4 linked regions of the Alligator mississippiensis genome follow. The protein of the gene in region 4 interacts with the protein of the main gene of each other region in a pairwise test. Links are inferred from orthologs where the notes say so. Each region holds a gene or a part of one and is shown on either strand. Other genes may lie near its edges.

Evidence for each region.
Region 1: the proteins of MTUS2 (region 4) and CCDC60 interact in binary tests that used the Homo sapiens proteins (3 or more experiments, as listed by UniProt). The two-hybrid records come from large-scale screens. The link is inferred for Alligator mississippiensis from reciprocal best matches to the Homo sapiens genes MTUS2 and CCDC60.
Region 2: the proteins of MTUS2 (region 4) and SH2D4A interact in binary tests that used the Homo sapiens proteins (3 or more experiments, as listed by UniProt). The two-hybrid records come from large-scale screens. The link is inferred for Alligator mississippiensis from reciprocal best matches to the Homo sapiens genes MTUS2 and SH2D4A.
Region 3: the proteins of MTUS2 (region 4) and TCEA2 interact in binary tests that used the Homo sapiens proteins (3 or more experiments, as listed by UniProt). The link is inferred for Alligator mississippiensis from reciprocal best matches to the Homo sapiens genes MTUS2 and TCEA2.

Annotation. Positions count from the first base shown.
Region 1 is NC_081833.1:21,831,706-21,838,871, reverse strand, and holds the start of CCDC60 (coiled-coil domain-containing protein 60), read left to right. Parts: upstream 1-4,161; 5' UTR 4,162-4,412; coding exon 4,413-4,718; intron 4,719-7,166.
Region 2 is NC_081825.1:132,233,196-132,240,519, reverse strand, and holds the start of SH2D4A (SH2 domain-containing protein 4A), read right to left. Parts: upstream 3,011-7,324; 5' UTR 2,586-3,010; coding exon 2,411-2,585; intron 1,114-2,410; coding exon 963-1,113; intron 50-962; coding exon 1-49. UniProt on the Homo sapiens protein: Inhibits estrogen-induced cell proliferation by competing with PLCG for binding to ESR1, blocking the effect of estrogen on PLCG and repressing estrogen-induced proliferation. May play a role in T-cell development and function.
Region 3 is NC_081832.1:3,006,891-3,014,255, forward strand, and holds the start of TCEA2 (transcription elongation factor A protein 2), read left to right. Parts: upstream 1-4,349; 5' UTR 4,350-4,390; coding exon 4,391-4,459; intron 4,460-6,805; coding exon 6,806-6,868; intron 6,869-7,365. UniProt on the Homo sapiens protein: Necessary for efficient RNA polymerase II transcription elongation past template-encoded arresting sites.
Region 4 is NC_081824.1:427,352,732-427,359,937, reverse strand, and holds the start of MTUS2 (microtubule-associated tumor suppressor candidate 2), read left to right. Parts: upstream 1-4,189; 5' UTR 4,190-4,248; intron 4,249-7,206. UniProt on the Homo sapiens protein: Binds microtubules. Together with MAPRE1 may target the microtubule depolymerase KIF2C to the plus-end of microtubules. May regulate the dynamics of microtubules at their growing distal tip.

The sequences.
Region 1 (7,166 bases), on a different chromosome or scaffold from region 4:
GGGCATTTGGTGCATTGGATGAGGTATATTACATTTCTGGAGGTGCAGCTGTAAGATCCTGGGATGCTGATGGCTCTGTTGTGGGGTGTAGTAATAGTGGGGGTGGTGGAGATGTGTTGGCAGGTTTTGCATTTCTTGTCATGGCGCGGTCTGGATCCATTCAATGTGTTCTGGGCTTGAGGAAGTTTGCTTCTGGTGATGAGGTTAGCGAGGTTCGGTGCTTGTCTGAAGGCTAGGATGCGTGGCTCTGGGAAGATCTTTTTAAGAATAGGGTCTCTTTCTAGTATGGGTTGCAATTGTTTGAGGATTTTTCGTACAGGTTCAAAGGAGGGGTGATACGTCATAACCATCGAGGTGCGATTTGTGAGGGGGTTTCTTCTGTACTGCAGCAGTTCTTCACGTGGTATCCAGGTGGCTCTTTCAAACGTGCGATCTCTCTCTCTGGAGGAGTGTCCTTGCTGGGTGAAAGCCTTTTTAAGATTGGTGAGGTGGCAATCCCGGGTGTTCTCATTCAGTGCAAATGCGGTGGTATCTGAGGGCTTGGCTGTATATCACAGCTTTTTTGCTGTGTTTAGGGTGATTGCTGGTTCTGTGCAGATATGTATGTTTGTCTGTGGATTTCTTGTATAACGTGGTCTGTATTTTATCATTCTGGATACTGATTATCATGTCTAAAAAGGAGATGCTGGTGCTGGAGTATTCTAGAGAAAGTTGGATGGAGGGATGGTGATTGTTGAATTTCTGATGGAACTCAATCAGAGATTGTAGGTTTTCAGTCCAAATGATGATGTCATCGATGTATCGTAAGTACAGCAAGGGTTTGATGGTGCAGTTCTTGAGGAAGTCTTCTTCCAGGTGGCTCATAAAAAGGTTGGCATACTGTGGGGCCATTTTAGTGCCCATAGCTGTTCCCACCATCTGGAGGAAGTGTTGATTATTAAAAGTGAAATTGTTGTGTGTGAGGATGAAGTGTATAAGGTCAGTAATATCTTTGGGTATGTATTCTGAGTTGTAATCTTGTTCCTGTAGATATGTAAGGCAGGCTTAGATGCCATCGTGGTGTGGGATGTTGGTATATAGGCTGGTGACGTCCATGGTGGCTAGGAGTGTGTTGCTGAGAAGGTGGTATATGTTTTTAAGTTTCTGTAGAAAGTCTGATGCAGATGTATACGTTGTACCACAAAATACATATTCAGAGCACTGGATGGGTAGACTTCCTGTTGAAGTCAAAATAAATCCTTTGGTCAATGGTACATTAGCAGTGTTAATTAAAAAAATTAAAATAACAAGTAAATAATAGATGTTTAAGTGCTATTTGAAATGCACATAACATACTCCCTCAGCTACTAGAGAAAACATTGCCAGAGCTAGATGTTGAACTCTGGAATATTTCCTTGCTTCACTGTTCAGATTTATGAAATATGAGATTTGTTCTAATGCAAACAAATCACTAAGACCAATCAAGCTTCAATTTCTCAAGGACAGGGATCATTGTATTTATGTAAAATCAAATTTTTAGACATTAAGGCTGCTCTAAAAATCCAATTTTTTTGCATGACGCTGGTTGATCAGGCATTTCTGTCAAATCCCCAGAATAAAAGTCTTCTGGTAAATGAGATGTTGCAATTTGTATTAAGAAAATCATGGAAATGAGCTATTTCATAGAGATTTTTAGTATGGGACATGCTTCATATACACATGCACGCATCTCAAGAAACAAATTCTGACTGCATTATCATGGTTTACCAAATTCTGACAATCCATGCTGTTGGCTAATATATTGCAAGGTAAAGGATATTCCTCTTTGGATGAGTGAGTCTGTTTTTAAGCTCTATGTAATTAAATTGGTAGGGAAAAATATTTCCGATACTTCTGTTCCATATTTTATATAAAGTAGATCAAGTTTTAGAAAACCCTCTCACCCTCTTACTAATGCAGAATAGTAAGCTTTTTTTCTTGAAAATATGGGAGTTTAAGCTGTCAATTTTGGCAGCATTCAACCTTTCTTTAAAGAAACAAAAACAAAGAAAAAGGGGGAAAAACTTTCTGGATGTAAATGTACACTTCCATCAGCAAACCAAGCATCCTCAGTGCTGGTTCATCTTAAAGAACCCTGCAGACTGACAGCTCGAATGTGTAGCCTGCTGTTACAGCTCTGCAAACAGCAACCCAATGAAATTAACAAGTCTCCCACTTTTCAGAATCATTTAGGAAGCGGCAAAGCTTGGAAGTCGGTTTCATACTGCTTCTAGTTCTTAGCCTTAGATTTGACTCGTAGGTCTGCTACTGGCAAGGACATTTTAATTTATATTTGTGCCAGTGTAGAACCAAATATATTAGAGCAAGTGACAATTGGGAATACAACAATCAAAGAAAATGAAAAAGGAAAAACCAGAAATGCGGCACAGTCATCTACAACCAAACAAGCAGAATGCAAAGCAATGCCTTTAGATGCTCACAGTTGAATTTAAATGCCATTGGGAAAATAAATCCACACCTGGAAAAGTAGGACAACTGCTGTTCCTTTCCAGACCTCTAGGCTTCAGGCCTGAATAGCTTGTAAACAGTCCCTTGCTTGCTGTGCGTTAGAAAAGGTCAGGTCCCAGAAATATTGTTACAGAAAGAGGCAGCAATTTTGGGATGCAGTCTGGGTGATGGGGGAAGAATATGGAAGAGTTTGTTTTTGTATTTATCTACTTCTGTTTTATAGATTTAGATCTCTAGCAAGGAAAGTTTGGTAAATGATTTAAAGCTGTACTAGGGAAGATCACTGCATCTTGGCCTTTGGCAAAATAGTTTTGTATCCTAGCTACTGAATCTTTTTTTTTTTTCCTGACAGAACATTTAAATGAAAAGACAATAAATGGGAGTGCTGTATTTTTTCAATATTTGAGGCTGGGTTTGGAAAATGAATGATGTACTTATTAATAAAATCCTTTAAGAGGTTTTCTTTTTTCTTAAGAGAATGTAAATGTTTTGGAGCATTTTTGATGAGATACAACTTTCTTGGTGGAAGCCATATACTTCAGATACCCAGGTCTTCCTGCTGGTATTGCTTGTATTGTAGAGCAGAAAAGATACAGCAGGGCATTCATTTTGAATTTTTGTTTGCCGACATTTATACCCTGTTTGCCATGATCTGAGTGATGTTTGAAATGTTTTACTGGAAATGTAGTGAGGGCACCAAGCTGTTTATCAAGGCATTGTCTAGTGCAGCGGTTCCCAAAGTCTGACAGATTGCGCACCACCAATTTAAAATGATACAACCTTAAATACCACCCGCAAATTTTTGTCATATACAGTTATTATAATAGATCTGTTAACCCGTACCACTGACAGGTTGCCTGCGTACCACTGGTGGTACCTGTACCCAAAGCCGACCCTAGTGGGTTTTGGGGTCCAGGGCAAATCAGCCTGTGCGGGGCCCCCTTAACACCGGGCAGGGCCTGTGGGACCCCCCTCAAAAGCAGGGCATGGTCTGGGGTCTCCCCCGCGCCCGAGGAGGGGGAGTCTCCGTGCTTCTCCCGAGAAACAGGGGGAGCCACCAGCACCAGACCCTGCGGCCGCTCCACCCAGCTCCACGGGCCCGGGGCAGTCGCCCCGATTCGCCGTGCCCTGGGGACGGCCCTGCCCGTACCACAGATGGGGAACCGCTGGCATAGCGGTTGAAGCAGAGCTTGGGAGGCAAGAGACTCGAGTAATAATCTTGCTCTGCTGGCAATTGTAGCCGGGCCTTACGCTAGCAAAATCAAGAGGCTTCCTGTCTTCAGCGGGAGCAAGATCAGGCCTGGTGTCACTTCCAGCAAGCGGCTCCACCTGCCTGGGCCTCAGCTTTCCCGTCTGTAAAACGGGAGCCGACGGGCGCAGAAGCAACCCGACAAACACCGCTCTGCACCGGTCCCTCCGCCTTTCCCCCCGTCCTGGGGAGATGAACAGATCATCGCCCCAAGGGCCCAAGTCAAGCTCTCTCAAACGCGGCGGCTTGGACGTGTCCCGCGGGCCTGCGGCTGGGGCCCAGCAACCTCCCCGGCCGGCCCGCGGGCAGCCGCCGCCGCCGCCGCCGCCGCCCCACACCACTCGGGCGCGGCGCGGGGCGGGGCGGGGCGGGGCGGGGCGGGTTGCCGGGCAACGCAGGACGCGGCGGCGGCGGGAGGGGAGGGGAGCGGAGCGGCCCGGCCCGGCGCGGCCCCCCTGCCCAGGCCTGTACACATGCAGGCGCGAGCTGGTGCAGGCCCGTGCCAGGGGCACCCTGGGCCGCACAGCCTGGTCCAGGCCTGACCCGTGCCCTTGGCAGTGCTGCGCAGAGGCAGGCTCCTGTGTTGGGTTCAGCCCAGGGGCCAGGCCGCAGCCCCCTGTTGTGGCGCTGAGGGGCCCCGACCCGCCTGCAGCGTTAGGGAGAGGGCGAGGAGCCGATGAGCAGCAGGGGCAGGATGCCTGGGAACACGAAGACGCTGGACCCTCGCTATTTCGTGCTCATCAAGCCGCTGCCCAATCCCACGCAGAAAGGCGTAAAGGTGCGGGCCAGGAGCAGCACCGCGTACCGGCGCTGGGAGCCCAGGCGGGAGGACGTGTTCTGGGAGAACTACCACCGACGGCACCAGCAGCTCACTCGGCAAGGCTACTGGACCCCCAGCTGGAAACCCTACCAGGAGCTCGGGGAAATGCTCTACCTAGAACCAAAGAAACTCACCCTCTACTACTTGGGACAGCTCCCTCAGGTAGGCTTTCCTCTCCCGCTCTGTTTTCCGTTATTTCCCATTTTTGGTTTTCAGTAGACGCGAGAAGAGCATCGTACTGTAATTAAATTGCGGAGATGCATTCCCATAGAAAAGAACAGTCAATTTCTGTTTAAGGAACAAGAAGGGAGTCTGCAGCAAGGCGCCGCGCTGGCCGATGAATCGATAATTCCGATGTGATAGAATGAATAATGGCAGCGCGGAACATCTGTACAAACGAAGCCAAACGTAGCGCTCTGACCTTTTGTGTTGCAGATTGAGAACCGAGAAGAGAGGTATTTAGAGTTGAAAGTTTTAGTACTTACTGTTTTAACAGAGCGGAGGAATTAGACAAATGAGAGTGAAACTTAGAGAAGGGGGAATGCACTCTTTTGTGGGATGGGTAATCAGATCACCCCTGAAAAAGGAAGGAAAGGAAACAAACAGAAGAGGCAATATATAAGAGTGAGAAAAAAGTGGTTGCACAGAGAACAGGAGTCATCAAAGAAATGATGGGTTTATAGTGTCAGACTCACTCTGCCCATCCTTTGGGCTGGATCTGGGCTGCAGTCCATACATTTGATACCCCTGATCTATAGAATAGGCAGTGGGTTAGGAACTGAGTGTAAAAGGGACATCTCAGAATTGGAAACAAGGTGATGGGTCAAAGAGTGAAAAACATTATCAAAGAGGGTGGTGTGAAAGCCCTTGTATCAGTTAAAGTTATTTCATGTTATGAACTGTAAGTGTATTGGAGTTCACAAAGTCAACTATTGTTAACTGGATCTGCTGTTACATTTAATACCCATTTAAGTATTACTTCATCATAGTCCCCTTGCTGTTAGATATTGTGTAAGTGGGTAGAGCTCTACCATGGGTCTTCATTACTGTCTGATTTAATGACAAAAAAATTAGTTTGCTTGGTTGCACCTGAGATGAAATTATAAAATCCTGTTTGTTAGCTTTAGGATTGCTGCCTCATGCCAGAAAATTTGTCTCCCTTATGTTCATGCTCTCATCCAAGGGAAGTAACTCCACCTGTTGTGTGAATAAGCCTGAATACTCTTCTACTTCTGCACCCCAGTAACTGTAATGCGGGCCTTGATTTCAACTGAGCTGTACTTTCTAAAGTGGTACCCAGGAGGCAGTTGTTTGCATCTGCCATGGAAATCAGTAGTGGTGTGGTAGAAGGGAGGAAAACAGAGGAGAGACTAATCACCCACTGCAGAGGAGATTCTGACTATTCGCTGCTTAATTCTCTGCAGTGAATGTATGTTGGATGAACTTTCAGAGATATAAAGACTTCCATTCACTGTTTAAAGCTTTCAAACAGGCACTGGTTCCCATGCATTATTTTTCTAACTTTCTGACATGTGATCATCTTCCCCTATTAGGTCAAAGGTATGGTTCTATGGGTACATGGGTGTACTACCAATATAGCCATCATCTTTGACCTCTGAAAACCCTTTCTTCTGAACCTACAAATACCTTTAAAGGTTGATCTTTCCATTACAATGTGGAAGTCAGTGGAAATTTTGCACAGGATATGGGCATTATAAAGGGAGATATTGAAATTGAGTTTGAATACTGGTATTTGAGATTTAAGTCAAATTAGCAGGTTAAAAATGTATACTTTCTGCAAAAATGAGCTTGATCTGGGTCAGGTCTGTATTAAAAATACAGTGTATGACTGTAACTTAAGTTGGAGATTTTCTAAGCTCATGGGGGAATTAACTGCCCAACTCTTTTATTATTGTGGGATTTGTGTGGCTAAACCCCCTAGTCAGCTTTGTAAATCTCAACCAAATTTATGTAATAAAATATGATTTTACTTTAAAAGACCAAACCTACCTTACCATAGCACTACGCTGGAATATTTTTATGATTCACTATATATTCAGAGTACTATACCTTACCATTTCAACCACTGGGTGAGTAAACTGTAGAATTCTAGAAGTGAAAAATATAATCTTTTTGACTACATTTGCAATACGGGCCTTCCAAAAGTTAGCCTTTGATTAGCCTATGAAGAATAGCAATACTGAGTAATAGTGAAGTCTAAACAGAATAGTCAGAAGATTAGAGCCCTCTGTGAGTTGAATTAGACCTGGGCTGGAGTTCTTCTGTAAATTAGCATCTGTTGACAAACACTCTTTCTTAAATGGAAAATCTCCCAAAAAGAACTAAAAAATGATTGAGAACCTATTAGGACATGATTACATAGGAAGATGTGAACATGAGTATAATGATCATTAGCTAATTACACATTTAGAGTATTATTTAAGTGCCTGGTGATAATAAGCATATGATATTAGCCAACAAATAGGCCCCCCAAAAGCTGTATCTTTATTGCTTATTTCTGTGTTGTTATTAAGTAAATCTGTTATCACTGGAAATTAACAATCAGTATTTGAATGCCTGACTGTTGTATTTTGGAAGATCTGCTGTGGT
Region 2 (7,324 bases), on a different chromosome or scaffold from region 4:
AGAATGCAGAGACCATGTTATGGAAGGCTTGGTCAATGCTTGACTCTCTCTGTGAAGAGATAAAAATGGGATTTGGAAATCAAATAAGCCTGGTGCCTTCCATGCAACTGAAGGGAAATCATATGCAAACACAGCAATTGTGTGGAAGGCTCTCAGACTGAGGAGCACCACAAGCCCCAGGGCAAGTAAAGGTATCACTCACTGGGCAGGTTAACTCCTGCGCAACAGGAGCCCCTGTTAATAGTCTCAAATGTCACCTACTCTGGTAGCAGAGACACTGACCATTCCAAATATTGTACACAGGTATTACTGCACCCCTAGCACTGTACAGAGGTATTACTCCTGACCCATTTTACAAGGGCACCACCCCAGGGTTTGGATTTGAGCTCCCCTCCTATTGGCACAGCAGGCAGCAGGGCTAAATGTGGCTCCCGCATGGCAGAGGTAGGGAGCACTTGGGAACCCCTTAGTTCACACCTCTGGCATCTGCAAATGAACTGGGATGTCAACACACGCCCACACCCTGCTAGTTGCTCAGGAGCAGGTCGAACAACTCTAGCTTGATATCTGGCTTCCTGCAGGCTTCAAGTCACATGCTCCATAACAGAAAACACCTCCTAGATTTCAAAGATCCCAGGCCTCATGTGCCCTGAGACTTGAGTGTATGCCCTGCAGCCCACGCAGTGCTCTGGCACATACAATAGGTCCAGTTAGGACACACACAGTAGGTCCAGTAGCTTTGCAGCTGCTTGTCATGAAACTGATGGGGAAGGAGGATCCAGTCTGACAGGATCCAGATTGAAGAACCCACAATAGTTGCCTCCATCCTAGATCTCCCTTTCATGTTGCACCAATTACCCTCCCTATATAATATGATGGCTCCCTCCTTTTTCACTAGTGACACATCCCTGCTAGCAGCTGCAAACCTGCTGAACCTGCTCTTAGAAAGAGGCTTGCCTTACCTGACTTCCTCCTTGGGTTGTTGCTGGGCCCTCTGAGCAAGGATCTGATCACAGATCATGTCATATGGCTTATCCAACATGTGCTCACCCATGACCCAGACCCAGACTTCACTGTCTGCTCCGAGCTTCCACTTCACCGACTTCCCCTTGGCTGCAAGACAAGCATTCATGTGGCTGGGCAGGGTGAACGGCAACCTCAGGGGCTGCTCTAGCTCTTTCCTTCCATGCCCTCCCTTCCTCCAGGCAGCTGGTGGGACTTTTGGGTAAAGCAGGTTGGTCTGGGAGGCAGCAAGGAGCACAGGTTATGGGTGAAGCTGCTAGCAATTTGACATGCCACATATATTTGTAGAACAATATCTCCCTCAACCGGAGTATTGGCTGGACCAGATTCCCACACTTTGCCCCATAGCTGTGTAGCAAGCAACTGCACTGAGGTTGGTGGGATTCTGTATTACATCATGGTTATGAGGGAGACCAAAGCCATTTTTCCCAACTGAGGGCCCCTTCCCTTGCTCCAACCCACACCATGTATTATTCCCTTTTCTTGGGGATGTTGTAAGGGAGCTCAGCTACCTGCCTATTCTGTTAAACTCCCTGTAATTCATTGAACCATGTTTCAATGAAAGACATGGCTGGGGACACTGCCTGGAGGAACAAAGGTGGTTCCTCAGCAGTGGAGACCAGTCTTTGCTGCTCCATGCTTCCTCTTTGGCCCTAAGGTTAATGGCGTGGGAGAAAGGAATGGCAGGGACTCCTATGCCTAACAGAGCAATGTGGTTGCTAGTGAAAATCCCAGCATGGCCTCAGGTCTGGAACCACCTTAATGCTATGTGACCTCTCGCTGGCTGTGAGGGTCATGCTGTTGCCTGCTTGCTGATATAGCCAGCCCAGACAGGGCTTTCTGCATGCCTCTCCAACAGGACTTGCCAACACGGCATGGACTGGGCTGCTGAAAAACAAGTGTATGCACCCAGAAGAGAAGTATTTGAAATATCTCAGTCCATTTAGCTGCACGGTCCAAAGGCCCATACTGCTTCAGCCTTGGTCTTGCTGAATGGGTGCTTGAGCAGCTATTTGGAGAATCTAGAGACCCCATCAGGCTGGGAACTATACATACACACAGCTCCTGTACCAAAAAGCTTACAGTCTGCATGGATGAGACAGACAATTATTCCCATTTTTTAAGGCAGGGAAATGGAAGGGGTTTGACCAAGGTCAGTCTTGGAAGCCAACCCCACCTTGCCTGAGCCAGAAACCAAGGTTTGAACCCAAACCGCACCTGTGATGGCAGGAAACTGTATTTATAACCATTTCCAGCTGTGCTTCCCTAACCAAAGCAATATCTCTTTAGAAATGCTTTTCACCCGGCTGCAAAGCACCCATTGAAGCAGCTTTGTTTGTCAGGGAGGGAAATGAGAGCTGGAATCTGCTTCTGGGCAGAGTCTTACCTTTCCTTGGTGCAGGTTTTTTTGTTGAGCTCTTGCCTGTGGCAGTTTCTCTTTCCTTCCACCGTCTGACCTGTTCTTGCCTCATCTTGAAGAAGAGGATCTGTTTCTGTTCCTCACTGAGCTCTGCCAGCAGGTCAGGATCAACGTACATATCTGCCAAAATCTGTTTCAGCATGGCTGTGTCTCTCAGGTATTCACACTGGTAGCAATGAGTTTTAAAGATGAGGTTCTCTTTTGTCACTCAGGTATGCCTGGGCCCGCAAGTCGCTGCACACACTGATCGCACAGCAAGAATGCAGGCTTCCTATGGTAATTATATTCCCGTCTCTGCACCTATTTTAGCTCAGACTTCCTGCACAGATGCCAGAAAAGTAAATAAACAGCTTCCAACCTGTTATTAGAATTCCCCGTCTCCTTGGTCTTTCAGGGACAAATTGGTATAGACTTTGCTCATAGTGAGAAAACCATGTTTGCACCCTGATAATCTCATCTGATACTGTATCAAAAAAAAACGCTCCATGTATAACAAAGTCAGAGGTGTGGCTTATTTCTGGGTAGGCAAACATACCATTGCTCAAGAGGCCAATGAACCTGTGGGTCTTCAGCTAGGAAACTCCCTGCTCCCTCCCACACACCTTTTGAAAAAAAAGAAACCACTGAGAATGCACCATACAAGGCTAAAAGGTCGACATGCCCCATTTTATCTAAGCAAGCACAGAGTGGGAGGAACAGTGATTTTTGGCCTCCCCACCCACAGAATCTCAAGTTACAGTGCACTATCCCCAATACAGCATAAGAGGCAGGGCAATTTGTTCAAAGCCACTAGAGCTGGAAGTAGCTATAGGCTGACAAGAGCTGAGAAGGTCCAGGGGTGATATTTTTATTGGTGTGAAAAATGTTGCTCATCTCCCTTGCGTAGTACCTCCAAACCATGGAAGGAGATAAACAGGAAGGAGGGGGAAACCCTCCATAGGCAAGGACATATCTCCACAAATAGAAGTATGGTACTATGATCTGGGATGAGGAACTGGTTATAAAATACTGGTGTGTACATGAGGGGTCCTTCTCAAGCAAACTGGAAATACTCAACTATTCCTAGTGAAAGTCTTCACCTGCTCTCCCTTGAGTTTCCACTCAGTCTGCTCCACAATTAGGTTTGGCTGTAGTTGCCACATCTCAAAGCTGTTTCTGATGCCTGAACTTTTAGAAATCAAATGCAAGTCAGCCTCAGAGTCCATTAGACCAGCCTGTGCACTGCTTTCTTTGTCCTGGACTTAAGGGCTAGGGACAGACATTATACATAAACTGGTATAAGTGATTGGAAACTGGTTTAAACCTGTAACAGAACAGAAGTTCAGTGCACATAGAACAGCTTCAAAATGGTCAAAACTAGTTTAAGAGAGGCCTGGATGGATGTAATATCAGACTTAACTGATTCAGGTTAAACCCATCTATTGAACTTCTGTCCCAGATCCCCTCTGGACATAAGTTAGGTCTCAGTCCACCGGCATCCCAGGATGTATTCCAGCCCTCACTAACACCCCCTGCTGATTGGGTAGGCTAACCTCTGCCCCAACTTGTCTGCTCCTGGCCAGCTGGGAGGCCGCCCGCAGCTGTCACAGAGCTTAGGCAGTCTCCCCAGCCCCACTGGTAGTGGCAAAGGGTTGGGGATTGGGGCGGGGGAGGGGAGGGGAATGTACCCCTGCCCCAGCCCCAGCTCCCTCCAACCAGGGACTGCACAGCGGGTGTGGAAGGGGTGGGAAAACCTCTGAGGTGGGGGCTTTTCTCCCTTACAGCACAGTTCTGCTAGGCTCTGAGTGCCCCAGCTCCAGCCCTGCCCCATAACCAGTCCCCAACTTGTCAGCCGTGGGGGAGTGGGTGAGGGGGAATGGACCCTCAGCCAGGGTCTGCACATTGCGGAGGGGGAAGGCAAACTAAAATTAAGCTTTTCTTGCAATTTCTGGTGTTTTCATTCTTTCCATTAAACTATTTACATTTCTAAACAAAAGATCCTTTCAAAATCAAAGATTTGCATTTTGAAAATGTGATAGTAAAGCATTGTGGGTTTCTCAAAATTCTTTTTTGCCATTTTTTTTTCAGCCAAAACTATTTGCTTAATTTGACCCACATGTATGAATCATTTCACAGCCAGGACCTGAAACTGCAGATAAGCTATTTGGTCAAAAAAAAAGAGTTCATCCAGCTCTAGAAATGAATCTCTTAATTTTCCCATTCATCTGTTAGCAATGTGGGATTTGGGCACAAGTTCTCTGGCAATGTAAGTGGCAGATACAGTCTAAGGCTCCCAAAGATTTTGCCATTGCTTTTCCAAAGAGGGGCTTTGCCAACTAAGCGTGAGACAATTGATCAAGAGTTGAATGGAACCCAAGTGTCTTGAGCAAGACCTATCTCAAGAAGCCCTGAAGGTGGAAGTAAAAACTGTAATACCTCTCTTTTATTAACTTAGAGTTCTGGGATATTTGCCTGCTTGCAACCAGCCCAGAGATGTACAGTAGGACAGTACAAGTGTGTTTGGACCATACTCTACAGTCTCTTGGATCATAACCATCCTCAAATAACCCCTGCCATCTTTTCTTGCTAGGATGAAGCAAAATAGGACTGTAGGAATATACTGACCTTGAAAACCTAGTATAGGCCAAGAGCATGTATGTGAAGCTAGTGATTCAGGAGCCTTATCAGTTTGCACTGCTGCTACCCATCTCCAGCCAGCCTGTCTGGGGCAGCATTCCTCTTGTTATCTGGTTCGCCTCAGTACAGGGGCAGGTGACTGTGCTCAGAGGCTGCTGCCCATATTGTAAAGGCTGTGCACATCTGCAGGGGTAATCATTTTTTGTCCAGCCTGCTTTTTCATGCATTCATAGATACAAATGCCAGAAGGGATCATATGTACAGCCAGTCTGGCTTCCTATGGGAAAATTAATAAAACCATTTCTGCAATTAGCTCACACCTTCTCCCGTGAACTTGACTGCATCTTGAGGGAAGAAGTCTAGTCCTATTTGCAAGACTTCAAGTGATGAAGGCTCCACCACATCCATTAATATACACTGTGCAGCCACATGGTTGGCTGCTTATTACTTGCATGGTTAAAAGTCTGAACTCCCCAGTTTGATGTTCTGTAGCCAAAGACCTTTGGTAGTGCTGTTGTGATTTGGCTGGTTGACCTTTGGTGGGCTAGCATAGCTGAGAGGAACTGGTTAAGGCTAAATAAAAAACATTAAAAAGGCCGGAGGCAGAATTGATCTGTTACATGGTTTTCTATAAGTGGTGTAGTTTAGATTAGTTGTAAACACAATGCGCATTTGCCTTTTGGTGGGAGGGGGAGGCGGGAGCGAATCTTAGACTGAGTTCTGCCATTTTTAAACCAGTCTATGCGTGCCAAACATCTAACCTGTTACAAGTATAGACCAGTTTTGTGTGCTGAACTTTTGTTCTGTTATGGGTATAGACTGGTTTCTGATCACTTATACTGGTAAAGGTGTAATGTCTGTACCTGGCCTAAAAGTGCCAGCAAATATTTTGCTATTTGAGGGAGGATCAAGCCCCTTGGGCATAGGTCAGAAGGCTCAGTGAGACATACTGAGACACCTGTAGGCACCAGCTATCCAGAATACAGGAATAAGCAAGATCAGCATTGATGAAAGAACATTTTAAGACTAGATATCAGGTCAGCTCATTCCACATCTAGTGACAGTAGTGCTTGGTGCCATCTGGGTAGGTTTGTTGAAAGGTCAGAATAAAGCGTTTCCTGGCAATCCTAAGGAAGGCAGACTACAAGATCCTGTGGTACACTGCGTCCTTAACTCCGGCCTTAAAAAGGGCTCAGACATACAATGTGCTTACACTTGTAACCCTGCTTATGTAATATATGCTTTCTTATGGTTATGACTGTTATGGCAACTTTGTGTATTCTTTCTCTGCATATCCTGATTAGTATGCATGTTTGGAGGTTTGGGGGCTACTTGTACCTGATTTTACAGACCTATCTCCCACAATCACAGGAACGTGTCTGGGTGAGAGGAGAAAGCCCAACCTTCCCCATTCAGGGAGACCCATCCCCTATAATCAAAGGAGTATATCAGGAGCTAGACAAGGGCCAACATGTGTTTTGCCCGATGAAGTGAATCTGCTGTGCTGCAACACATTGTGGCACAACAGATCTGCTTCATTCAGTGACATCAATTTCTAGCCTAAGATTCATGATATCTTTAGTTCTCCATGATTACTTAGCATTATATTTTTTTTTACCCCTAATACGGATGTGGCAGTTGTGCATATTTCAATCTTAACCATCCTCCAGTTTCCTCTATGGTGTTTTTCTTTGGGCACACCCATAAATGAAGCAAGTTATTCTTCTTTTGTAACATACTGTTCTCATGTTTATTTCTATTTGACTCCACTCACAACCATGTATAATAGTTTCTTATAATAGTTACAATAACTATTGCGCTTTGCTGAGATGAACATTGAATTCACAGGACCTTATAACAAAATATATTTGACGACTGCATACAGTCTTCTTGATTTCTTGAACTTTTCCAGGGGCACCAGGCTTAGCTCTTCTGAGCTAAATTTAACTCCTGATGTACCCTGTCCCTCAATTTTTTTCTTTTTTTGAAAATTTAGCCCTGGAGGGAGGGAGAAGTGAACTCATTTACATTTCCAATAGATGAAGATTATTTTGAATGGGAATCTGCAGCATGACTGGACAAGTTTCATTTGTTGCCTCCAATAAAGCAGTGGAGTATCTAGACTATTATCCAACTACCCCCTTTCCCAGCAATTTCAAAGAGGGTGTGGGGGAGAGTCCTGTAGAAGCAGATGAGACTTTGTGGGCTCTCACCCTTAATCACTGACCAGTGTGGATGTCAGGGCTAGAGAGAGGACACAAGGAG
Region 3 (7,365 bases), on a different chromosome or scaffold from region 4:
CGGCAAAGGGCTTTTCAGGCACAGGAATAGAGCATTAGGAGGGAAGAAGTGGTGCCACCGGGCATTCAAAGTGGGATTAGGGATATGATCTAGATATAACCCCAACATGCTACATACTTACATGAACACACCTGCATGTCTAATAAGGAAGAGGATGCATAGGAAGGCAATTGTAGGGAATGTCATAGGAGTGTGTGGACAGGGTAATGGCAACTAGTAGACCTGAGAGAAAAGCACAACTGGGATAAAATGGAGAGACTCAGTTATCCCAACCCTGGGATTATCCAAACAACTGGCACATGAAAGGGCAATTCCAGTAGCAAGGGACTGCAGGGAATTAGTCAGTTTGGGGCATGCTCTATGCAGAGAGAGCTCTTCACATCCACTTTGAGCCCCGTGCTGTTCCAGATTTTCATTGCATTCCCTTACTACACAATGACAGGCTGGAGGAAGGCAAAGACAGGGTGATTTTACAGGAATACTTCAGCAGCAGACTGGAGGGATAGCAATGCTATGGAGTTGGGTAGTACAACATGCAGTCTGCATTCAGGGACTGAAGTCAGGACTCTTGCTGTAAATCCAGGGGCTCACTGGAGCAACAGAGGAAGGGAAGTGCTGGGCGTCTCGGTCAGTCACAGGATGACCATGTGCCATCCCTGTGGTGCAGCTACAAGAGGCTAATGCAATCTAAGCAAAGTTAGAAACATTAATGCCACAATGCCAGGCACCGGGGAGGCCTCATTTAGCATCTTGCTGCCATTCTGATCACCACGATTAACACAAAATGAGTTGAAACGGGACTTTGTGCCTGGTGGGGAGATGAGGGGAATGGAGAACCTGTCCCAAGAGAAGAGATTTAATGAGTTTGGCTCATTGATCCCAGTGAAACAGAGGGTGAGAGGGGATGTGACCCCTCCATAAATGCATTCAGGGATGAATCCCAGGGAAGAGTGACTACAGTTAAAGGGACAGCAGCTATGTAAGATCAGCTGAATAGAAACTGGGCACACAGATGCATTTACATTGGAAGTGAAAAGGAGGCTTCCCACCATCAGAGGAACAAGGTTTTGGGACAGCTTCTTGAACAAGGCAGTGGGGCAAGGAGCTTGGCGCTTCAGGGTGGTACTTGACAAGGCCCTTCTCCTTCCTCTGGAAGAATTCACGTGCCCTCAATACCCACTGCACCATAGGGCGGTGTATTCCTTCACATGCTTCAGGGTTTTTGCTGATCGCTTGTAGGGGCCAGGAAGACATAAGAACTATCGTTTACAGGGTCAGGCAATAGGTCCGTCTTGCCCAATCTCCAGACTGGCAGAGACTGGATGCTGAAAGGCAGAACGAACAGGGTGTGATCAGGGTTTTCCTCCCATTCCTCTCCCACTTGCAGCCTCCAGCTTTTAAAGTCCAGGAAGTTTTGATTCAGAGGGTTTTCCCTGAACTCCTGTGCTCAATAGCTACTGATGCCTCTTTCCTCCAAGAACGTGTCCAGGCCCTTTGTGAATCTGGCTGCATTGTCAGCGTCCGCTGCATCGGATGCCAACGAGTTCCACGCTTTAATTACATGCTTTGAGAGCACTTCCTTTTGGTAGTTTTTAAACTTACTGCCTACTAGATACGACTCCTAGTTCTTGTACTGAGAGGGATAATAAGTAATGACTCCCTATTTATGTTCTCGTCACCATTTTTAGTATTTTGTAAACCCTCATTATGTTCCCCCCTCCAGCGTCTCATCCCACCTGAATAGGCCTGGCCTCTTTAGTTGCTCCTCATATGGGAGCCCCTCCATACCACTCGTTATCCTTTTGCTCTTCTGTGGACCTTCTCTAGTTCTTCTATACCCTTTTTGAGGCATGGGGACTAAAAAAGGGCTGAGTGTTCAAGCTGTGGGCACACCATGGATTTATAAAGGGGTATAGTGATACTTTGCATTTAGCTTACAATTCTCTTCCTAATACTCCCTAATATTTTTGTTTGCCGCTTCTGAGCACTGAGCTGATGTTCTTAGTGAACTGCCCAGGATGACTCCCAGATCTCTTTCCTGTGTGGTAATGGCTCATGTAGAGCCCATCAGCGTGTAGATGTAGGTTGGGCTATTTTTGCCCATGTGCATCACTTTACGCTTACCTCTGCTGAATGTCATCTCCCATTTAGTTGCCCCTTTGCTGCCCTCCTCCTACATGAATGCATTGATTGATGGCTGGGGTTTTCTAACTTCCTCTGAAGTGTTGGAGGTTTGCCTGAGGCATGCTGCATATCCTCCAGGTGCCTTGCTTATGAACTTAGGATCAAACTGGTTGCCAGATATGGGGATAGGGAAGAATTTCCTGTAGGATCACTGTTTCCCTGCCTCTGTAGCACAGGGCATGGTGCACTCCTTAGCATCCCCTAGACATTTTACCTAACAAATCCCTACTGTGGTAGAGGCCCAAGGCATTGGCAGTGCCTTTCTTCTCTCTTCTCTTTCCCTCTGGCATGCTACAGATTGGGACTAAAGTGCCTAGCATTGTTATCTGTGGCTGAGGTGTTTGGGAAGGGCTGGAGCCGGTGTTTCTTTGTCCCATTTTGCACAAATGTTTATTGCCCGTGTGCCCGTGCTTGCAAGTGACTGGGCTTGATGACCTAGATGCTTCACGCCCATCTCCTAAGTAAAGAACGATGGTGATTTCAGGACCCTCTTTGCAAAGCCTGTGTGCTTGTCCCTGAAAGGTTACACAAATCCCAGGATACTCACACGGTTGGGGTTCTGCAAGAGGATGCACTTAAATTATGAGGGAGCATGAGGGGTCAGCATTAGATCCCCTGGATCTAATGACCCTTGAGACCAAAAGCTGGAGAAGGCACCTGGCACTTGTTCAGGATCTGGAAGTTTTAGAGCCTGCTGAGCCCAGCACAACAGTTTGTGTCCAAGGTGGGTGAGCTCTCTGGCATCTGTTTCCCATCCATGCATGGTCATGGCTGCTGCACACCAGCCAGGTATAGGATTGCTCTGCAATTAGGCAGGCTCTCAACAAAGCCCAAACGCCACCCTGGGCATCTGGAACCAAAATATAATCATTTCTATTGGGGGAGGGCAGCATCTGTGCGGCAAAGCAGCCCGCACCAGCCTAAACATCTGGGAACCCTTCCCCACAACAGCTGCCTGCTTTGCAGAGAATTTGCCCTGGACTTGACTCTGCTTTGCAAAGCCTGGCAAAGGACGGAGAGATTATAGCCAGGATTATAAGAACATTAAGAATTGCTATGGACTGGGTCAGACCCATCCTGCATCACGGCGGCAGAGAGCGGAGGTGAAAGGGAGAGCAAACTGGGTCTCACCAGGGTGTCCCCCACCCTGTTCCTCTCTCCCTTGCAGCCCCCAGCATTTAAAGCTCGGATGCAGAGGCCGTGCCCCGCACTCCCGCGCTCCATAGCTACGGATGCCCCTTTCCTCCAAGGTGCGCGATCCCTGGGTGCATCTGGCTGAACTGCCAGCTCCCACCACATCCAGCGACAACGAGTCCCACTCTTGTGGGAACCAACTTCCTCGCCTTTTAGTTTCAAACCGACCACCCGCTCGTTTTGTCCGACAACCCCCCGGCTCCTCCGAGAGCCGGCCCCGCATCTCTGCTCCAAAACCAAACCGATTGAGGGCTCTCAACCGGGAGGCAGCTTGGGAAATGCCGGCTCGTGGTTCTCCCTCTGGTTTGGGCTACAGAAAAATATCAGAAAAATGTTTCTTGGGGGTAAAGACCCCGCGGGGGAGGGGAGGGGAGGTCTGGGTGGACGTCTCCAGGTTTTTCTTGTGAATCATCATGTTTGCCTGCAGGTTGGGGCTGGTATGGAAGGAGCGCAAGGCTCCTTTGGGTGCTGTGAGCTTGTTTGGGTTACAGACAAATATCAGAGAAATGTTTCTTGGTGGCAAAGTCCCTGCCTAGGGGGTCTGGGTGGAAATCTCTGGGTTTTTCTTGTGAATCACATTTGCCCGCAGCGTGGGGCTGGCATGGAAGGAGCTCCAGGCTCCCCTGGGTGCTGCTGAGCATCACTGAAATAGATGGAGGGGGAAGAGAAGGGGTCAGGGCTCGGCTGGGCTGGGGATGCACTAGGTGCAGCGCCCTTGGGCTGGCACCGGCGCGCGGGCTGCTGGGAGTTGTAGTCCGGCCCCGCCCGCACAGCGCGGGGTGGGCAGGCGGAGGGCCGCACGTCCCAGCGTGCCCCGCGGCTGGCGCGCTGCCTGCTGGGAGCGGTAGTTTGCAGGGGGGCGGGCGGCCTGCGGCTCCCGTCGTGCCCCGCGCGCCGCAGGCCGGGCCGGGCCGCGCTGAGGAGGGCGGCGGCGGCGGCGGCGGCGGCGTGGTGGAGGGGGGGCCCGGCCGGTGCTCGGGCGGGGGGAGGCGGCCCGCGGCGCCCCGGCGCCATGGGCGGGGAGGAGGAGATCGTGCGAATCGCCAAGCGCCTCGATAAGATGGTGGCCAAGAAGAGCGCGGTGAGTCCAGGCCGCGTCTCCATGGCAACCTGGCCCCCAGGGGTGTCGCCCTCCCCCGTCGCGGCATGGGGGGGGGGTCCAGCCCCCATGGGGTAGCTATGGCACCTCCCCTCCCCTCACTTCATCTCCATGGCAACCCCTGCGCCCCTGGGGTACTCCCTATTGTCTCCATGGCAACCCCCATGGGCTATCCCTGACCCCTAAGCCCTGCCCCACCATGGGGGGTACCCCGCCATCTCCATGGCAACCCCTGGGGGGCTATCCCTGCCCCCTTAGCTCTGTCCCATTATGGGATACCCTGCTATCTCCATGGCAACCCCTGGGGTCCCCCCCCATGGACTATCCGCTCCCCCTGAGCCCTGCCCCATAAGGGGTACCCCCCAGTGTCTCCACGGCAACCTCTCTGAGCCCAGCCCCACCATGGGGACACCTCTGTCTCCATGGCAACCCCTGGGGTGTCCTCCCCTTGCAGCCCTGTCTCTCCATGGGGTACCCCCCACTGTCTCCATGGCAACCCACCACCCTGGGGTATCCTTTGTGCCCCCATGGCAACCCCCTGCTCCTCCCTGGGGTACCTCCCTCTCACTGCATCTCCATGGCAACCCCTGCTGGTCACCCGTGGTCCATCCCCTCCCCATCTTACTGGGGTGCCCGTGCCGGTCCCCCGCTGCCCTCCGGGGTGACCCCCCGGCCTCCACCTGCCTGGCGACCCCGTGCTGCCCTCCCAAGCCCCGCGGAGCAGGGAGTCTCTATCTGGCGGCCACGAAACCCCTTGGGTTGCTGCGGTCACAGGCCTCGCGGTACATTGGGAGCCTGCCCTGGGGCCTCCGTGCTCTGCGTCGGCTCTTCCCGTCCCATAAAAGCGCTCCTGTCTTCAACGCGTCCCGGGGCCCGGTCTGCCGCCGTCGGCGCGAATGGCAGAGTCCCCTTTTGGGGCCAGGCACCGGGTCGCTGCGTGCGACGCGAAGGCCGGGTTTAATTGACCCCCTGTCTCTGAATGCCGGAAGAACGAAAGGGCCGGAGGTTTGCCAAACTGGAAGGCTTCTGCCGGAGGGTTTGCCCTTATATGCGTGCCTTGAAAGCCTCAACTCCGCTTTGATTTAGCTCTCTCAGCCTCTGTCCTGCAGGATCACTGGCAGCTGGAGCTCTTCCCAAGAGGAATCGGAAACTTAGCATGGAGAGGGAGGCAGGCTGCTCCACACCACTGCAGTCACAGCCTAGGTCTTGCGTTGCAAGTCGGTCGGGAGTGATTAGTGTTGTGAATGAGCTGTTAAACGTGAACGCTAGAAGGCCTGCCCTCGTGGAAGGGGATGGGAAACGACGGCAATCTGAGCGGAGACTGACACCTTCCAGGCTGTAGCTTTGCATGGAGGATGATGCTGCAGAAGCGAAGCATTGCTAATGTCTCTGTTCCTCCCGTGTGTGATGGTTTGTAACAGGGGTTAAAGCGCGTGCGGGCTGATGGAGCTGGTAGCTGCGTGTTCTGGACTCAACAAAGTTGACACGTGACTGCTTTATGTCAGTGGGGCCAACATTTTTGGCAGGCGTGCCGCGAATGAAGCCCTGCATCCTCCCCGAGTGCCATTCTGATCCCCTTCTCATACCCGACCTGCTGCTTGGCTTTCTGCTGCCTGTGCTATCCCCTGCTGTGTGGCCTGCCCCCCTCCCCAGTCTGTAAGCTGACTGTGCCACTGGTAGCACTTATGCCACAGATTGGCCACCTCTGTTTTATGTGATGTTTTCCAAGTGACCTCCCTGACTTCGCTGTTGCTTTGGTGCTGTGCTTGGAGGGCTCTCAAAGGGACAGTTTACGGGTAGCAGCTGCTTCAGGCTTTGTGTCCTACAAGCGACGTAAGTGCTGCAATGGACAGCAGCTTTATATCCCACATGTGTGGTTGCAGAGTGCTTTGAGAACCTCTGATGCAATAGCTTGGCAAGCATTGCTGAATTATTGCTACAGGAAAAGGTCAGAAGAGAATACTTGCTAAAGGAGCAACCCTTGTAAGTGCATTGTTATGAAGTTATCCTTGCTCAGAAATTTTTGTTATAAGGGCACAATACAAATGTGTTTGTATGCCAGGCTGGATGTTCTGCATAAAGATGTTTGTCTCTGCTTTGCTTCGTTCTAGTGCCTTCGTTAAGCCCTCTGTATGATGGGGACTGGAATAGTGGGGGCTAAAATATCAGGCCCAGGGTTAGTTGGTTGACGTACTAAGGAGGGATATTATTTGCTTTGGCTCCAGTGAGGTGATTTTTCAAGGGTTGCATTGATTTGTTTTGTCTTTGGCGATACCAGAAGTGGCTCACTAGTTTTAGTAACCGAGAGATGTCTTTTCTCCTTCGTAGGACGGTGCAATGGATTTACTGAAGGAGCTGAAAAGTATGCCCATGACTCTGGATTTATTGCAGGTAAATCATGCAGCTAGGGAGCAGACAATAAAAATCCAGATTTAGATGGAATAGATGCAGGTTTCTTTTAAGTAAGGTTAATATAGGGCTCCTCTTTCCCTTCTCCCTCATTAAAAGATGCACTAAACTGCTGTAACATCTTATTTACAATGCCTCACCATACCGAGTGCTATGGGTACTATTCATCTTCATAATTAGATGCTTCCAAAATCTGTGTCAAGGTATTTGGTGAAATCATCACCTTTTCCAAAATCACTGCTAGGGGCTAAGTAGAGAGAGAGGGAAAAGAGACTGTAGTAGCAAATATGAGGCCAGAGGTAGCTGCATCTTAAACCTCTTTGTAATACTTAATAAGGCAGAGCATTGACTTTGGTTTTGAGTGGGGAGGCGCGGGCTGAAGCAGGGCTCAGCAGAGGGGCAAGATGTGTGCGCCAGGAGGTGAAGCCATGACTAGGTCAGGGGAATGTTGCATTGGTGCACGATTCTAGGGGGAAGCT
Region 4 (7,206 bases):
AAGTCTCTCACTGGGATTGTAGAGAGGCAACAGCAGGATGCCAGACTACCATGCGTAGACCCTGAGATGGTGCAGAGTCACTTGGAAGAACTGGATGCCTTTAAGTCGGCAGGCCCAGATGAGCTCCATCCGCGGGTGCTGAAGGCACTGGCCGACATCACTGCACAGCCACTAGCAGGAATATTTGAACGCTCGTGGCGCACAGGCCAAGTCCTGGAGGACTGGAAAAGGGCCAATGTGGTCCCCAATTTCAAGACGGGGAGGAAGGAGGACCCGGGCAACTATAGGCCAGTCAGTCTCACCTCCATCCTTGGCAAAGTCTTTGAAAAAATTATCAAGGCTCACATTTGCGAGAGCCCGGCAGGACAAATTATGCTGAGGGGAAACCAGCACGGGTTCGTAGCAGGCAGATCGTGCCTAACCAATCTAGTCTCTTTTTATGACCAGGTTACGAAATGCCTGGACACAGGAGGAGGGGTGGATGTCATATACTTAGACTTCAGGAAGGCCTTCAATACGGTATCCCACCCCATACTGGTGAACAAGTTAAGAGGCTGTGACTTGGATGACTACACAGTCCGGTGGGTGGCGAATTGGCTGGAGGGTCGCACCCAGAGAGTCGTGGTGGATGGGTCGGTTTTGACCTAGAAGGGTGTGGGCAGTGGGGTCCCGCAGGGCTCGGTCCTTGGACCGATACTCTTTAATGTCTGCATCAGCAACTTGGACAAAGGAGTGAAGTGTACTCTGTCCAAGTTTGCGGATGACACAAAGCTATGGGGAGAAGTGGACATGCCGGAGGGCAGGGAACAGCTGCAAGCAGACCTGGATAGGCTGGACAAGTGGGCAGAAAACAACAGAATGCAGTTCAACAAGGAGAAATGCAAAGTGCTGCACCTAGGGAGGAAAAATGTCCAGCACACCTACTGCCTAGGAAATGACCTGCTGGGTGGCACGGAAGTGGAAAGGGATCTTGGAATCCTAGTGGACTCCAAGATGAACATGAGTCGGCAGTGTGACGAAGCCATCAGAAAAGCTAATGGCACTTTATCGTGCATCAGCAGATGCATGATGAATAGATCCAAAGAGGCGATACTTCCCCTCTATCAGGCGCTGATCAGACCACAGTTGGAGTACTGCGTGCAATTCTGGGCACCACACTTCAAGAGGGATGCGGATAACCTGGAGAGGGTCCAGAGAAAGGCCACTCGTATGGTTAAGGGCTTGCAGGCCAAGCCCTATGAGGAGAGACTAGAGAACCTGGACCTTTTCAGCCTCCACAAGAGAAGGTTGAGAGGCAACTTTGTGGCTGCCTATAAATTCATCATGGGGGCACAGAAGGGAATTGGTGAGGTTTTCTTCACCAAGGCGCCCCCGGGGGTTACAAGAAATAATGGCCACAAGCTAGCAGAGAGCAGATTTAGACTGGACATTAGGAAGAACTTCTTCACAGTTGGAGTGGCCAAGGTCTGGAATGGGATCCCAAGGGAGGTGGTGCTGTCCCCTACCCTGGGGGTCTTCAAGAGGAGGTTGGATATGCATCTAGCTGGGGTCATCTAGACCCAGCACTCTTTCCTGCCTATGCATGGGGTCAGACTCGATGATCTATTGAGGTCCCTTCCGACCCTAACATCTATGAATCTGTGAATCTCTCATCCTGTCTTTTCAATACAGCATGTTTTATGAGTTGATTGGAACAATGGGTGCTGGCTCTGTACTAGTAAAAGAATAAACGCATTAATAACTTTGACATTGTATTGTAAACTGAACTTGAACTATGTAACTAAGACACACTATCCCACAGAGCTTACAGTCCTAGCCAGATAAAACAAGACACTGGGCAAGAGTTCAGACAGAGCAAAAATAAGGGAAGGTGTGGAGATTATTATTTGAATTTTTAAGAGGGGCTTAGGTCGATAGGGCTTTTTGGTGGTGTTTTGCATATTTAAGAAAAAACCTGAAGGGAGACAAGAATTGGAGAGTAGCCAGTCAAGCAGCAGAAAGCATTCCTCATTAGTAATATTTCCAAAAATGTTGTATTTGAAACCCTATTTAATTTTTCTTGACTCAAGTGTAGTAAAGCTTCTGCAAGAGAAAGAGGATGGACACACATTTTACTTTGGCATTCAGAAAGCTGGTACCTTGGGTCCATATAAAATAATCCACTACAGCTCAGTCATTTGTATGTACAGATGTCAACTTGCACTTATAACTATACTCATTACATGGGAAAAATAATATAAACATATTCATATAGCCATATTTAAATGGTGATGGTGTATGAAATACTTGACTAAATGTTCCTAGTTTTTCTGTGAAATTAGAAACTTGGAATTTTGAAAAGGGCTTGTGCAGTAGGCTCTAACCATAAGTTTTCTATGTCTCTAATCAAGAGATTACCCTAAAGCAGGGGTGCTCAACCTCCAGCTCTGGGACCAAATCTGGCCTGTTAGACTGGGCACATGAGGCTGATCCAGGCAGCATGAGGCCAAATAGGGGTTGATCTGGGTAGTATGGGACTGGATCCTGGTGCACAGGGCCTGATCTGGCCCACAGACAGGCCTCCTGCCACTCATCTGGCCTGTGGGGCCAAAAGCACTGCTGCCCCGAAGTTTAATAAACCCAGACTACTTTAGACCAGACGGAAGTGCCTGTTTCAAAGACAGTGGGATTTGTCACCCTTCTTGACATGTCAGGGCAGAATGGCTATTTCAGGGATTCCAGAAAGTGGTTGGCCAATTCTTGAGATCTGTCTGAAGTGATACAGTGTGCTTGTTCTTTTCCTTAAAGCGGTGATTCTCAACCGGGGTGTGCAGCACTTTTTTGGGGGGGGTTGAGATCCTTCAAGGGTGTTGCAGGGTCCCATGTAATGTTAGGTGTACAGACATGATTCTCAAGATAAACCCAGAGATTTCAAATAGGAATCCACACAGTTAAAACATTCTGACCTTTTATTATCTCTCTGTGTTCTTTGAAACAGGGGGACAAAAAGATCCTTTTTCCTTAGTCAAATGATGAGTGAAAACAAAGAGCTGGCATATTCTGAAGGGTGCTTTGAGTTGGGAGGGGTTGAGAACCACTGCCTTAGAACCCTGAACTCAGATGGTCACATATATCTCAGCTTCCAGGTCAAGAACAGAAATGCAGTACTCTAGAACTCTTGGTTCAGAGATGATACCTCCCATTAGACCAACTAAGAAATTACAAAAGAAATGATCTTTTTCTGCAAGCTCTTGGGCACACACACCGTTCCTCAGGCTCAGGGAAAACTAAAGATGGGGAAAAATCCCCATAAGTAAAGAAAAAGCATTGGGCATTGGCTGCGGCCAAGGCTGGGGATTGTGATGGCTTTTGCTGGCACTAAGTGGGAGGTTCCTGGCTAGAGGGTCTTGACCTTCAGCTTGGGGTCACATCGATCCTGGTATCCGGGGATGAAATTTTCCTCTCCTGACCGGTACCAACTGGGGGTGAGGTTTGTCTTCCTGTGGCGGGGGGATGTGGACGGTAAGACCTCGGGATCTCTCAAGCATGCATTAAGAAGCAGGATGTTGGCTCTCCTGCTTTCTCTGTGGCAAGTTGGGGTGCTGTGCCTTGGGTAGTGTCAGGGTTGAGGGCCGCTTCAGGAAGGGGCAGGCACCCTCCAAGAGCGTGGCGCTCGAAGACATGCCACGTGGCACGCGCCTCGGGGCGGTTGGTGGAGAAGGGCCTGGGGCCACACTGCCACGACAAAGATCGGGCCCCTCGTGGCTCCCCCATCTCATCTCATACAAGTCCAGGTCGCGGGTGCTTTCGGCCCCAACACGTCGCTGACCACGTGATGGTTACATTCTGCACTGGTCCAGGATGCTGGGGCAGGCGGGCCGGGGGCTGCCCTTCCCGCGGGTCTGTGTCAAGGCCCAGCCCAGGGAAGAGGTAGGCAGCAATGACAAGGCTCCGCAGCCTCCCTTTCCCCCTCCCCAACTTTGTCACTTGGGAATTTGTTTTTGTGGCCAGCCCTTCCCGTGGCACCTGGCCGCAGCCTGCCGGGCTCGGCGCCCCTGCGGCGCGCGCGGGGGCCGGCAGGGGGCGCTGCGGCTCCTGGCGGCGCGGAGGCAGCGGCGGGCGGCTGCTCCCCGAGCCTGTAGGGAGAGCTGCTGCCGTGCGCACGGGGCGGGGCGGGGCGGGGCGGGGCGTGCAGTGCGCGCGGCTCTCGGCAGCCGCGGCGTTTGGTGCTGGGGGCGGCGGAGGCGGCGACGGCGATAGCGGCTCCAGGTAGGGGCAGGGCGAAGTTGTCCGCGGGGCGCTGGTGTCGAAGCGGGTCCGAGGGGCCAGGGGTCCCTGCCGCCAGCCCAGGTGGGCGCTGCTGGGGGGGCCCCGCTGCCCGGGGTGTCTGCTCCCCCCGCGGGCCGTCCCGCGTGGCGCCTAGCGCCTCTCTCGAGGAATCGCCCACGATAACAAAGCGGCTTCTCTGAGTCAGAGGCTGTGAGTGGGGAGCTGTGGTGGGCATCCGATCCAGAGCCTGCCGCCCGTCCTCAGGTGCTTGCGCCGGGGTCTCAGCGAGGACAGGCAGGCCGGCTCGCTCCCTAGTGCGGGCACGGCGTGTGCCCACAGCGGGCTGTGTATCGGAAGCCGCCTTCCTGAAGGTAACCGGAGCGGGGAGAAGACCGTTTCTGTCGGCACCGAGCAGGCAGGTGGCTAATAATTTTGCTGAACTCGCTGCGTGAGCCAGGGGGTGGGATACGCTCGCAGCCCCCAGCTGACATGTCTCTGCTGGCACTATTTAGAAGCGTGGGCTTGGACAAAACGCTCGCGCTGGGAAGGGTTCAAGAGGTGTTTGTCCTTCGGGTCACTGTAACGGTAGGGATACGCCAGCACAGCTCTTGCAGCTCATTACGTGAAGGCTTTGAATGTTTATTAATGCCTATAGTTCAGCAAGTTGCGTATTAGCAATAGGTATTGATACTAGTGTAAGGGTAGCAAAATAAAGTGTGAAATACTTGTATACAGGTAAGATTTTTGCAATGGATAGGTGTATGATACAGGCACTTTTGAGACGCTCTGCGCTGAGCTGTAAAAGGATGTAGAAATGCCTTTTTTGTCTTTGTTTTTATTGTAAGTGTGTTATGTGTGTGAGGTTTTATACAGGGTTAGTTTTTGTGCCATTTGGATTTTTCATGTAGTTTCTATGTAGTATTTAATATTTAACTCTTATATTTTGGCTCTGTGTCAAATCTCTCCTTGTCAAACCTTTTTTTTTTTCTCTGATGATCAATATCTTTTAAAAACATCTGTATAAAGAGTTTGGTAGAGAGAGAAAAATCTTGACTGCATCTAGTGCAAAAAGGGAGGGGTTTTTTAAATGGCTAGATGTATCATAATTTTTTAGCTATTATTTAGTTCACTGCTTGTTGAAATATTTGTAGATTTGATTTTTGATAGATACAGCTTGTCTTTTTTGGATCTGTTGAGGAATGGGAGCACGTTCTGGTTACGGACTGAAATATTTTTTTAAAAACAGGTCAACAAAAGGAAGTCAGATTTTGATCATCATTTCTAATTTGTCTGTTTGGTTTATGGTGGGATTTTTTTGAGGTGAGATTTTTTTGCATGTCTTGCATTTGTTGTTTTGCTAATGGCACTTGTGGAGACTTTAATAATAAACATGACAGCTTCACAGGTGAAATGCTACTAGATATGCTCCAGAAGTTTTTTGTCAAATATTTCTCATGGTGCCAGCAATACCTGGTCTTTTTAATAAGATAAAGAAAGGGGGGCAGCTAATGTATAACTTAATATGGTTGATAGTAGAGGTTTGTTAAATAGCATTTGCCATGATATTTAGGAAGAAAGCAGCAGTTTCCTAGACTTTGTAAAAGCTCTTAACACTGTACATTACAGGAGGCTATTCAGGGACCTTGGTAACCATTCACTGAGAGGTAATTTTCTCAAGAAGTAAAGATCAGTTAAGAGATAAAAAGTGCGGAATGGGAGTTGAGGGCTGCTGATGATTTTTTTTTTTTTGGTTTGGGGTTAATAGAGGATGCCCCAGGGATTAGCTCTAGGACCAGAATTGTTGTTTCTAATGAAACTTAGTGACTGTCACATGATCGGACAAGCACAAAGTAATGCAGTTTGAAAGAGCTAATTTAAGCTACTCATACCCACTGATGGCTTTTGGACCTGCTATAACCTCTTAGGAAGAAAAGATCTAGGTGACATCTCAGTGAGAGTGTCAGCTAAGAGGGAGGCAGCAGCCAAAGGAGGAAAAAATGAATAGGTTTGCCAAGGAGAATGCTGAAAAATGCTCAGTTTTTCATGTGTTGTTCAAACATTTGTTAAATTACTATATTTGTAATGTTACTATCATCCTGCACACTGCAGTTAAGGTTATTAAACAGGATGTTTGTATCTGAAAAAGAAAAATAGCTGAGAAAAACAGTAGAAAGTTAATTGATTGATGGGAAAGAATTCTGTGCCTGGCTTCAGTTCTGCAAACTTATACTTGTGTAAGTAATGGGTTTTTTTAAAGCAAAGTAGTTCAGTTTGTTTTTAAGGTGTCTTAATACTGGTATCTTATTCTAATGCCTGTATTTCTATACGAATCTGTGGCAAAGAACTGAGACCTAAATACACTGAGGGATGTAGCTGTCCAGCTCCTGGAGTGGAATTCACAAACCTTCATTAAGTTCAGAGTTTATTATGGAGAGAAATAGATCCTTAAGGAGAGGATTTATGATAATTAGAGGTGCACAGATGCATCACAGTCTATATCATATCAGCACCAGTAAAAAGAACATTGACATTATCAGCATTTGACTTTTTTTGGCTGATGTGGCCAGTAATGGTGCTGATAAATGCTGTGTGCATGCACACAGCTGCAGCAATCATGTAGCCAGCCCAGCAACTTGGAGAGCAGCGTCCAGCTGGTAAGTCTGTTGGGGTAAAGGAGGGGAGGAAAGGGGGGTGTGTGTGTGTGTGTGGGGGGAGGGGGGATTGAGGCCCCCATCGTGAGGGAGGGGTGGGGCCGGGGCAGATGCTGCCTAGCTGGGGCAGGGCGCTGGACGGAGCTGCAAGTGGCTCGTCCAGGGGCTGTGGAGAGGGAGGGGGTGCCCCCCAGATGAGCCATTCCCTCCCTGCACCCCTTGGGTGAGCTGCTCTGTCCCATGCCCTGCCCCAGCTGGGCAATGCCAGCCCCAGTCCTCCTCCTCCCTCACTGTGGGGAGCCACCCC